Linked DNA regions of Schizosaccharomyces pombe. Changing the gene in region 2 together with the main gene of any one other region gives a genetic interaction. Each region holds a gene or a part of one and is shown on either strand. Other genes may lie near its edges. The genes, in order: rds1, gst1 and rpl3801.

Region 1 (4,530 bases), on a different chromosome or scaffold from region 2:
ACGATAATATTCACTTACGAAATTCTTTGTTTAGACGGTATTTTTATTTACATCGAAAAAGTGATGTACTAATGTAATATTATTTATTGACTGTATATATATGCTCATTAGAAAAGGAAACTTTGATGCAAAAGCTGTGGACGTGGTAGTGAGACCATTTTAAGATACTTTAACGTTTTTCAACTTTCACTGTATTGAAAATTGAAACGAGCAAATTGGAATTTTTACAAAAACATTCCAATCACAACCGTCTCTTATATTTTTTTTTAAATTACATGCAATTGATTCAAACATGAAAGTTACAATGCTCCCTTTGCAATTGAATGACGAAATCAACTCTGCGAGTTTTGGACCAGCCTCCTCATCAACCAGCCACTCCTCCACCATCTTTTGCGTACACCATCGCGTCAGATATATATATGTACCAAGACACTGCTTACTCCGTTCATTGACTTACGCTACAACAAATTTTACCAAGTTTTCGAAATTTGTTTACTACTTAGCTATTACTTTACATACTTCACTTCTTACTAAGCTCATTTACTGCCACGCCGACTTATACGCACTACAATCAATCAAATACAAAAGACTACGAATAAATAATGGAATGTTGGATTCACCGAAAAGAGAATAAATATTAAAAGGAGGAATTCCCCCTTTATGTTTAAAGGTTTCCTAGTAGCCGACGGCTTCCAGGGGTTTAAAAGTCATAAAAAAATCATAAGACTGTTGGTCAAAGCTGGATTAGACGTACCAAACTTTTTGTATGTTGGTCACATATCCAAACCAAAAGAAGACAGGCCAATAGATAGAATCGTGAACGAGTATGATTTTTGATGAAATAAATCCATGGTAAGGCGAGTCTAATTATTAAGGCTCCAACCTAGCCACATATACAAACGAGCTCAATCAACTGAGTCAATCATCTACATGATGTGTACATGTGCAACTAAGGGAGTTTGCCTTGATAGAGACGCTTATCCGGACTCGTAAACAAGAGGACCAGCAACAACGTGCTCGTTGATGGCAGTGATGTTGAAGGGAGTGACGGGGATAGCTTCGTCAACGAGAACCAAGAAGTTGGTACCGTTAATGACTTGCTGGGTAGAGTCGTTGTAAAGGTGAGAGCTGGGTTGGTAGGTAACACCGCTGTTGTTGCCGGTGATGTTTAAGGGAGCGTAAGTAACGTTCAATTGGGAAATCCAAGCAGCATAACGAGGAGTTCCGGCAGAGGTGGAAGTGATGTAGGAGCTGTTAGGACCGACAGCCATACCGGGAGCATCCCAAGCCAATTCGACGCTTTGTCCGGGAAGAGAGAGAGGGAAGGTACGGTTGGTGGAGACAGCGGCGGGATACATGTAGGTACCGTTAGGGTACTGAGGGAAAGAGCCGTTGGTGAAATTAGTGTGAACAGGAGGGCTAACCAAATGTAAGGCAGGGAAGTTTTGCCAAACCAACTTTTCGTTTTCGGCAGGGCAGCCAACAATGAAAGGGGCAATCAAGGACCAAGCAAAGGATTGAGGAATGCCAGTTTCAAACCAGACGGGGTAAGGGAAGAGACCTTGTAATTGACGGAGAGACATTTGTTGACGAGCTTCAGTGGTGATGGATTGAAGCAAAAGAGCAGCTGCTGCGCGAGAGTCAAGGTGGGGAAGGAAACCATAGACACCGGATTCACTCCACTTAGTAAGGGTTTGAGCAAAGTCAATGAAGGAGCCCACAGTGTCAAAGTTGTACTGGTAAGAGCAAGCCTTGGGGGCGTTGGGGCCAAGCATGTTGGTGACAAGCTCGATGTGGCCGATTTCTTGTTGGGCCATGAAGCGAATCAAGTGACGGTACTCGGCGTCAATGCCGGCCTCGTCAAACTCGGCATCAGAGAATTTAGTGAGACCGTAGTTGAAGAGGTCGTACTCGATGTACTCGTGGTATAGAGCGAGAGACAAGGACTGGTAGTCAAAGTCACTGAAAGGGTGATAAGTAGGGCTGCTATCATTAGTATCGATGCCGCCAGCAGGAGTAAAGTTAGCAGGCATGATAGATTGATTAAAGGAACCAGTAGCAGTGTAGTTGTATTCGTAAGCGGCACCGCCAATACCAGCAAAGTTAACTGGATCGGCCTTAGCACCGATGATACCGCGCGCCAAGAGAGCGCCGGCCATTAAAGAAGCAGTAAGAGCTTGAACCATTGTATAGATTTATAGATATACAAAAAAAGAGGCGATAGTGTTTTATTAAGGTAAGGTAGAATCAACTAGGTTTTCCACACGCACCGACACGAAAAGAAATTAAAAATATAAAAAGAAGCGACGAACGAGGTCTTTTTCAAAATAGCAATCCAACCAAAAAAAACTACAACTAACAAACGTGGTAGTAGTAGTAGTATTAGGAGTAGAGTAGCAGGGAAGCACAGAGAGAGAGAGAGAGAGAGGTAGGCTTGATATTTCACAAGACAAGCTCGTTTATTTTTTCTTACTTACTTAAACAAGGGCAAAACAAAGTCACACAATTTGCGACGGCTAAAGTAAGGCTAGTGAATGCGATCTATATATACCACGAGAATAAAGACGGAAGTACCATGTCATAGGCTCAAGCTTGGAACGTATATCGGTCTCAGCTTGACGTGTGACTTGGTACTATATCATCGCTTCCAACCCTTACGTTTTCCCAAGCATAGGGATTTACAAGCCGAGAGCGCCATGCATGCGAAATTCGCACGATGATGTTGCGATGAAGAAAATGACGAGGAGCCAGAGTATTCGAGCAAAGAAAAATCAGTGGCATTCATCGCATGATGATTTTGACGAAAATAAAATCGAAAGAAATATGCCATGCGCACGCACGCACATTTATTTATCAAACCTCTGCATGTCGACGCGACGAAAAGTCTAGCTGGCCATCGCCGATGCCGATGTTAATAGAATGTCGCATCCATTTCATCATCGCACGTGAAGGAGCAAGGCGAAGAAAGCACCGTAAGAAAGATAGCGAGAAGCTCATCGTAAAGTGAAAGAAGGGAAAAAAGAATAGCGGGGCGTAAAAGAAGGATACGCCGATGCGTTTGATCTACGGTAAAAAAAAACGTGAAGCAAACGTGAGCCGAGTGGAGGAGGAGCATGGAGGGGGGAGGGGAGGGAAGGGAGCAAGTTAGAGGTAGAGTAGAGTAGAGTAGAGGAGCAGTACCCGGGACATGGGGAAGATTTGAGAGATAGAAAAAAGACAGAGGGAGCACCTTTTGAGTAAAAAGTTAAATGAGACTTTGAGGGAAAAGAATAGGAAAAAGATGCTGTGGACAAAAAAAAATTAAATAAAAGAAAAAGAGAAGGATGATTTTTAATGAAATAGAATGTAATGTAATACAAAAGTTTGGTAGGATAGTAATTGAAATGATTTAAAAAAAATTCAAAAAAAAAAAAAACCAAACCTCCGGAGAAAATAAAAAACAGTTTAGTTAGCACATTGTAGCTAACCATATCTATCTATTCGATTGGTGATTGATTCTATAATCGATTCAGTCAAACAATTAATTTACTTAAAGTATTTGATTTTTTGAATTAGTTGATAACTTGATTATTTGATTTGATTAGACTAGACTGTTTGATATTTTTTTTTTGAATTTTTGACTGAATCGACTTTATTAACTCATTCAAACTTTATTGATTTAATCGTTCTGTCGACCATTGATTGTTTGCATGATTGTATAAAGGCGCGGCCTTTTTCCCCGGCATAGCTAGTCTTATCGCAACCATCCATCGACTCGTCAATAAGCTTGACCATCTTTTCGTCAGACTTACGGAACGATCAAGCATTGCATTGTATTGCATTTGCGGGAAGTATGTTACAGCTGCCGTGTTTCGGGGCGGGGGCAGAAAAATTCAAATAAAAAATAATATAAAATAATAGAAAATAAATAAATAAATAAATTAATAAAAAAAAAATCCAATAAATTAGAATAAGTATATAGGAAATAAAACTTGAAAAAAAAGAAAAGAAAAATAAGCAAAAGCATAGAGAAAAAAAAAAGGCGTACTGTAATGAAACATAAAAATTCTAAAAGAAACTCCAATGTAATAAAATAAAATCAATTCAATAAATTTTAATAGATTTCCTTCTCATCCATTTCTTCCTCGTAACCCAAACACACCGTATTACTATGCCCTTCACTATTGCTCATCTCTGTTCACCTCTTATTCAACTCTTGCATATACTTAAACTTAACACCTTCTCGCCCTGCTTCTCCTTCTCCTTCTACCTCTCCTGAAAATTTTCATTCCTCTCTGGTTGGTCCCCTCTGCTGGGTTTCTCTTTGCCGTTTACCCTATTCCAGCTACAGGGAAGCTTTGCGCAAAGCGTTGGGAAGGTGAATCTTCTCGGCAAACTCGTTTTTTCTTGGTGGAAGTACCACCCTGTCCTTCACTGCATTACGTTATTGTGGTCTCGTTCTGGAAAAGTATAAATAGATATATATGTGCGGGAAGGAGAGACGTGGGGAGGGAAAACAAGGTAAAAAAAAAAGAAAAATATAATAATAAT
Region 2 (3,526 bases):
TATTAGGACCTTTCTAAATTCGATAATGAATCACTTCTTCATACCCTACATTATATTTGTGTTCATGAGTATTTGAATTCATCTTATTTACAATATTCAGAATAATTAAAATAAAAAATATAAGACAAGCCTGCCCAACATATAAAGAAAACAATATTTGATTATTATTTATTCGAGCTTTTGTTTTAGACATAATATTTATAATTTACTTAAAAATTTAATAAAATCATTGAACTTTTCTCAATAAATTGACGACATTATTTAAAAAAAAAAAATAAAAAAGGTCTTGTAGTATAAGAAAAATAAAAAGATAGTAACAATAAAAAAATAAAATAAAATTAGCGCCTCAAGTCATTTCGACATGATTACAGCTATCCCTTCTTTCATTTTATATTTTTTACTTTTGATGATTGGCTTTTCCAAACAATAAATACCAATTTTAGCAAGAGCAATACGATGGATGTTACATGGTCTGCTTTGTATATATTTTCGGAATGTATAGTAGAAAATCATAGTTTAAAGATGATATTATTGAAAGAGCACTTGAACAATTGATGTATGAAACGAAAAAGTTGAGTCTATATCTATATGCATAAAGGAAAGTAAACAATGCATGAATTTTGAAATATAAAGAATCAATCAATCAATTGAAATATTGGAACGTTATTATCAAGATAGACGCCACAAATTCACTTAATTATCCAAAGCCTTTGATCTTTCTTCGAAGGTAGCCTTGCTAGCAGGTCTGGCAAGAAGTCTTTGATGCCAGGAATAAGTTCTAGGAAACTCTTTTTCAAAGTCGAGCTGAGGCACTTCTTCCTCGATTGAAAACTTTCCTTCTGCAAAAATAATTTCAAGGAAGTTATTCCATGAAATGAATGATAAGTCAGCAATTGTGAACCGGTTGGCCACGAGATAATCACGGTCTTTAAGGATATCTTCGAGGACTCCTAGAACACGTTTGATTTCATTCCTATAACGGGTAATGGCAGATATGACTAGCTCCTGATGATAGACGCTAAACCATCCAGCCTGTCCCCAAATGATGCCTTGGCCAGAAGCTTGAAAAAATAAATATTGTATAACTTTGTAGTATTCAGGATGGTCACGAGGCAAAGATATCTTCCTTTCCGTATCATATTTGTCAGCTAAATAGATTAAAATGGCATCAGATTCCCAAATGGTATAATCGTTATTGTGGTGATCAATCAAGGTAGGTACTCTACCGTTAGGGTTTAAGGCTAAGTGTTCGGGGGATTTCTGCTCATTTTTTGAAAAATTCACATATCTGGTTTCATAGGTAAGGTCCAACTCCTTCAGCGCTTGAACCACCTTCCATGGATTAGGACCATGAGCATGCGACCATAAAGTGAATTGAGCCATGATACTTTATTTTGAGTGTGTTCTATTGTTAAATGAAAGGAGTTTGGCAATGGATTAAAATATAAAGAGCATCTTTACCATTTTATATACAATTCTTACTTCCATTGCGTATGCAATATTTATGAAAAATTTTGGAAAACACCCGAAATCGAGTTGATCAATTTCATCCAACTTACTAATCGATCATACATTAGACTCATACGTGGATTCAACTAAATTTTACTCGATTAGCTGACGACAAGCCGGAAGTTATGATTTATGTCAAAACGTGATCAAAGAAAGATAAATCTACTACCGATTCCATTTACTAATACATTTGAATCCTGTTAGCCGGTTACACGCTACATTTAATCAATCTTGTAATGCATCAAAATTTCATGTAAAATTTCTACCAACATATAGTGCGTGGGGACTGACTTCTCGTTTTGTTTAACTATGTATAATCCTTGTGGGAAATAAACGTATGCTTAGTGTTATATTTAATTTCTTAAAGGGTCGGCTTAATGCAATTCCAAATTCAAATGCAATTAAAACTGTTTCAGGTTCTTAAGACATGTAGTTTTCAGAATTTACGAGTCAGTTGAATAGACATCTTATGATAAAGTTAATATAAAAATAATAAAATAGTCTCAACCATACGCTCGAGATTTATTTTGTTCACCACCTGTTCAAAAACCAACGTGTCAAACTTGCTTTTAGACTACTGCACATATTAATTCAAACATGCTAGGGATTCACAATTGGATTTTCAACTGTAAAGATTAGTTATGACGGAGTTTTGTTTCTCACATATCAATTTAAAATTCTCTTCACTCTAATAATCTTATTTCGAAATCTACTTTATTTTTCATCATACAGTGAGTGTAATATGTTTAATTTCTGTAAGCGAATTGGTAATGATTCCCTATGAAAATTTTTTGTTTACATTTACTACCTTGACAATACGATACGTAAATTTTAAAGCTATTCAACATAACTGCAAACACGATGAGTAATTTTGCATTATAATCAGAAAAAGAGCAATGGAAACCAAAAAGCATACACCAACTTGATCAGAGTAAAGCAAGTACATGAACCAATACATGTTTATATCCGTTAAATACTATTTTTTTTCTTTTTAAAAGTATATAAAAATAACCTTTTTTGGATTATTCAATAAACGTCCAGCTTTTACGTCTTTCATTAATTGATTGAACTTTTAAAGTCGAAACCCGATAAATACAATCATGTCTAATAACGTTTATTCATCAAAAACTTTTATTCATTCAACAAGCTCAAAGCTCCATGTCCTTCAATTGACTATTCAATGTGATACATTGCAGCTTTTCCCATATTCTTACAACCCATCGGCTTAGTTTCAACGCATTTATCCAGGATCCTAGTCCGCGAAATCGAGATGCTTTGAAGATTAAAATTAAATTTAATTTTATGCGAGACTGGTTTCCTTATTTTTTGTATAGTCGCATGCAAGCGAGGTTCGCATAATTTGGAAAATAAAGGTAGTCAAGAAGACGTTGAATTAAGGCTGCAGTTTCAAAGTACTCTACAAACGATTCCTTTTAAAAAAAAAGATTCAAAAAAAAAGGCAAAGGGTTTAAGTAATGCTTGTTATTTCAATTTACCTCCAAACAGTTACTAATGCAATTGCAAAAAAAAAAACCTACCTATTGAATCAAAATTTCTAGCCCATCCATCGCTCCTCAAGATAAAGGAATCGATATTTTGAGTTTAAGGGAGTTGCTGATAGATTTCAGAATTAAAAATTTTTGGAAAAGGATGTCGAGAACAAGAAGATACGTCTAGATTGCTGATGATGCATTCTAGCAGACGGAAATACAACGATATGTGGACAGCACGACTTTTGATCCGTTCGGATCAAAAGGAAGAGAAATATCCATCTTTCAAGAAGAATGCAGGAAAAGCAATAAATGCCCATTTGATTCCTAAATTATCCCCAAAAATGAACATTATGAGATCTTCTTGTGGGAGACAGGAAATTTCGCAATTCCAAACGAAAATTCGGCTCTTTTTTTTACCCCACAGTTGCGGGGTAAATGATGTAACGGACCTTGGGGGAAAGGATGATGAGTTAGTTGGGAAGCGGAAAAAATGGAAAACGGAAGTAAGAATAGAAACCAGTATG
Region 3 (2,934 bases), on a different chromosome or scaffold from region 2:
GAACATGTTTTTGACTGAGGAATACGCAGACGGTATAGAAGAATTTGATGATTCTCCCAGTGATGCTAATGCTACCAATGCTACGAAGGAGTCAGAGGTACATATAGTAGGTGAACTTGAATTGATGATTGCAGAGCCTCAGAATAGAAGGAAAGGATATGGAACCAAGATTGTAGATGCATTTTTGCACTATGTTGAATCCAGTGGAATTGCCAAAAATAAGCAAATCCTTAAGTATCGAGTCAAAGTTGGCTCCCAAAACAAGCCTAGTATTCGGCTATTCAAGAAATTGGGCTTCTCTCAAGTTAAGTACAACGCTTATTTTGATCATGTAGAGCTTGAACTAATGAGGACTTCATAAGCGATGCAACAACGCTTAAAGTTATTTACTTGTTTACTTTATGCAAGTGTTACATGCAGCGAACTACTTTAAAAGGGTTTATTAAAAATTGTTTTCTACACAACCCTATGGCTAATTATACCTCTCATCTCGCAACAACAATTATTTACATACAGACCTTTATTTTATAATCGCGAATTGGGTCTGCTTATAAAATTCGTGAACAACTTGGATAATTTCACCGATTTCTACTCTTCGATTTTTACATTACATTACAAAATAATATGAATACAATCTTTATTGATCATTTTACTTTTGAAAAAGAAAATTTTTGTTTTTAACTGAATGCAAAAACCATGAGAGGTTTCTTTTTCATTAATCACTCAACCAGAAACTTTATGCCTTCTTTCCAACCTCAGTAACGGTCAAATCTATAGAAAACTTGTTAGCTTGAGTTCACTTATATGAACGATTAACTCAGAGCTGATCATTTGTTTCACGAATTATCAACGCTTTAGGAAGAATTCCTTCGCAAAATGCTTTAAGGAAATGTAGTTCCCTCAATAAAAAGTAACTGAGTTAATCTTTCTTAGTAGTTTATATAACATACCGGGAGGAAGAGATTGACGGAGCTTCTCAGCCTTCTTGGCGTCAGCGACAACCAAGGTATACAAGTACTTGGAACAACGAAGCTTGAACTTAACGTCCTTGTTAGTGTTCTTCTTGATGCGGGCAGAAGTAGCATCCTTTCTGCGAGCGATCTCCAAGAATTGCTTAATGTCACTGATTTGACGAGGCTAAAACATGCATTAGTCGATGGTCATTCCTAACACTGAATATATTTTACAGAGACAACTTTAACGAACGAAAGATGAAAACAGTTTTCTCTTCCATAAGCTGCTGAAACCTCTACTTATCTCACTTACCATTTTGTTGAGCTTGGTGAAAGACCAAGAATTCATTCTTTCCAGTTTATCAAAATTTCTGTGACTGTGTTTTACAACTCGAATGGTTTGTAACTCGTTAAAAAGAAATTACGAGCTCTTAATCAGCCGGTATTCGCTCAAGGGGATTAACACTATCCTTCACTATACTGCTTGAATGGGCGTTAGATTGAAGTTCGTTTTTTAAATTGCTTAGCTCAGGTATATACTAAGTGTACGTGATAATAAAATTAAAAAAAAATAGAATAAGAGATGGTCAATATTTATATCTTAATCTATAGTTAATACTTTAATTTTTCCATGCATAATGTTTTTGGAAATTGATAGATGAAGTGTAACAACAAAGAAATGTTTTCAATAGATTTACATATCCATTTGCTATATCTTTTACATCTTTCTATTAGGATCAAACGACTTTATGCTCTTCGTTTTTGAAAACTATATTACATCAATTGCGAAAAAATAGATTTTTACAATAAAATGCTTTCATCCTATCCAAATGTGGATCAAGGCTCTATCTGTCTGTCTACAAAGTATTAACAACATAGCAGCATTCTTGTGAATTATAAAGATAAAGCATACTAACTACTACATATAGAGGAAGTTTGATTTATATGAGCGTGCTTCTATACGAATTTTTTGTTCCACGACGGAAACGACTTTTAAATAAACTCATGAGAAATTCCAACGAAGCTTAAACATTGCCTTTCAAGTGTCAAAATAATTATTGCTTTCGTTCACTAAAATCATTAAATCATTTTACAAAAAAAAAAAAAAAAAAATACGTATTGCTTTTCGAGTAAGGATAAATAGTATCATAATCAACTTTCAAACTTATCAATCACCCACGTTGGTAATTGCTTCTCTGACTTGGGGCCAAGAACAGCGGTATAGCTCTTTTTTGGATTTACCAAATATTTTTTGGCAACGGCCTTCAAATCATTCGCTGAAACATTTAGTAGCTGCTTTCGCCTATTTTGAAGCATTTCGTCTGTAACCCCATCGACAAAGTAAAGCATTCCTTTTTGGCTTTCACTAACCGGGCTATCAATTCCTTGAAATACTGCTAGTTTGGCTTCATCTATATCTCTCTGAGAAAACTCGTGAGTGGTTGCCCATTCAGATGCCTCGTCAAAAACTGATAAAGAACGTATTGGATCGGAATCCCGATAAGTAAAGAAAGACAGTACACCATCTATACCACTGTAAGAAAGACCAGCCCCATATGCGCCTCCTTTCTCACGAATTTCACCATGCAGATATTTGTGTGTCAAAAGCGATGAAAGAATTTGAAGCGGTGCTCCATCTGGATGGGTATATGGAACGCCTAAACAAGACTTCGCAGCGAAATAGGTTTGAAAAGGTAATTCATGATAGGTTTTAATAGAATTAATACCATTTCGTTCCTTGGAAGTCGATTTGGTCTGAGTTTGTTGATTGACTCCCCGTGACTTCATAAATTTTTGTAACGCCTTTTCAACAACTTCATGTTGTGTAGGGCTTGCGTTTATAGCAGCTTTAAAACCAGATGTGCCTCGTAAAATTTCACGAATAGCTGTAAGCTTTTCGACTAACGGACCAAAGCTTTCTTCTCTAGATAACTGGCTTAACAGCTTTACTTGAGTAAGACCACCAAGTTGTTCAGTAATA

What was found.
Region 1: mutations in gst1 (region 2) and rds1 together harm fitness less than expected from each alone (positive genetic interaction), as found in Schizosaccharomyces pombe (one large-scale study listed by BioGRID).
Region 3: mutations in gst1 (region 2) and rpl3801 together harm fitness more than expected from each alone (negative genetic interaction), as found in Schizosaccharomyces pombe (one large-scale study listed by BioGRID).

The regions. Positions count from the first base shown.
Region 1 is NC_003424.3:1,665,727-1,670,256, reverse strand, and holds rds1 (protein rds1), read right to left. Parts: upstream 2,519-4,530; 5' UTR 2,187-2,518; coding exon 978-2,186; 3' UTR 635-977; downstream 1-634. Other genes in the region: SPOM_SPAC343.20 (uncharacterized protein), read left to right, coding at 293-634; SPOM_SPAC343.21 (uncharacterized protein), read right to left, coding at 2,994-3,470. UniProt on the Schizosaccharomyces pombe protein: May have a function in stress-related responses of the cell.
Region 2 is NC_003421.2:1,718,632-1,722,157, forward strand, and holds gst1 (glutathione S-transferase Gst1), read right to left. Parts: upstream 1,440-3,526; 5' UTR 1,384-1,439; coding exon 694-1,383; 3' UTR 512-693; downstream 1-511. Other genes in the region: SPOM_SPCC191.10 (uncharacterized protein), read left to right, coding at 3,197-3,526. UniProt on the Schizosaccharomyces pombe protein: Involved in the oxidative stress response and detoxification.
Region 3 is NC_003423.3:752,987-755,920, reverse strand, and holds rpl3801 (60S ribosomal protein eL38), read right to left. Parts: upstream 1,285-2,934; 5' UTR 1,270-1,284; coding exon 1,267-1,269; exon of another isoform or gene 1,138-1,266; coding exon 951-1,137; exon of another isoform or gene 772-950; coding exon 737-771; 3' UTR 621-736; downstream 1-620. Other genes in the region: SPOM_SPBC577.03C (GCN5-related N-acetyltransferase), read left to right, coding at 1-361; cym1 (metalloendopeptidase), read right to left, coding at 2,106-2,934.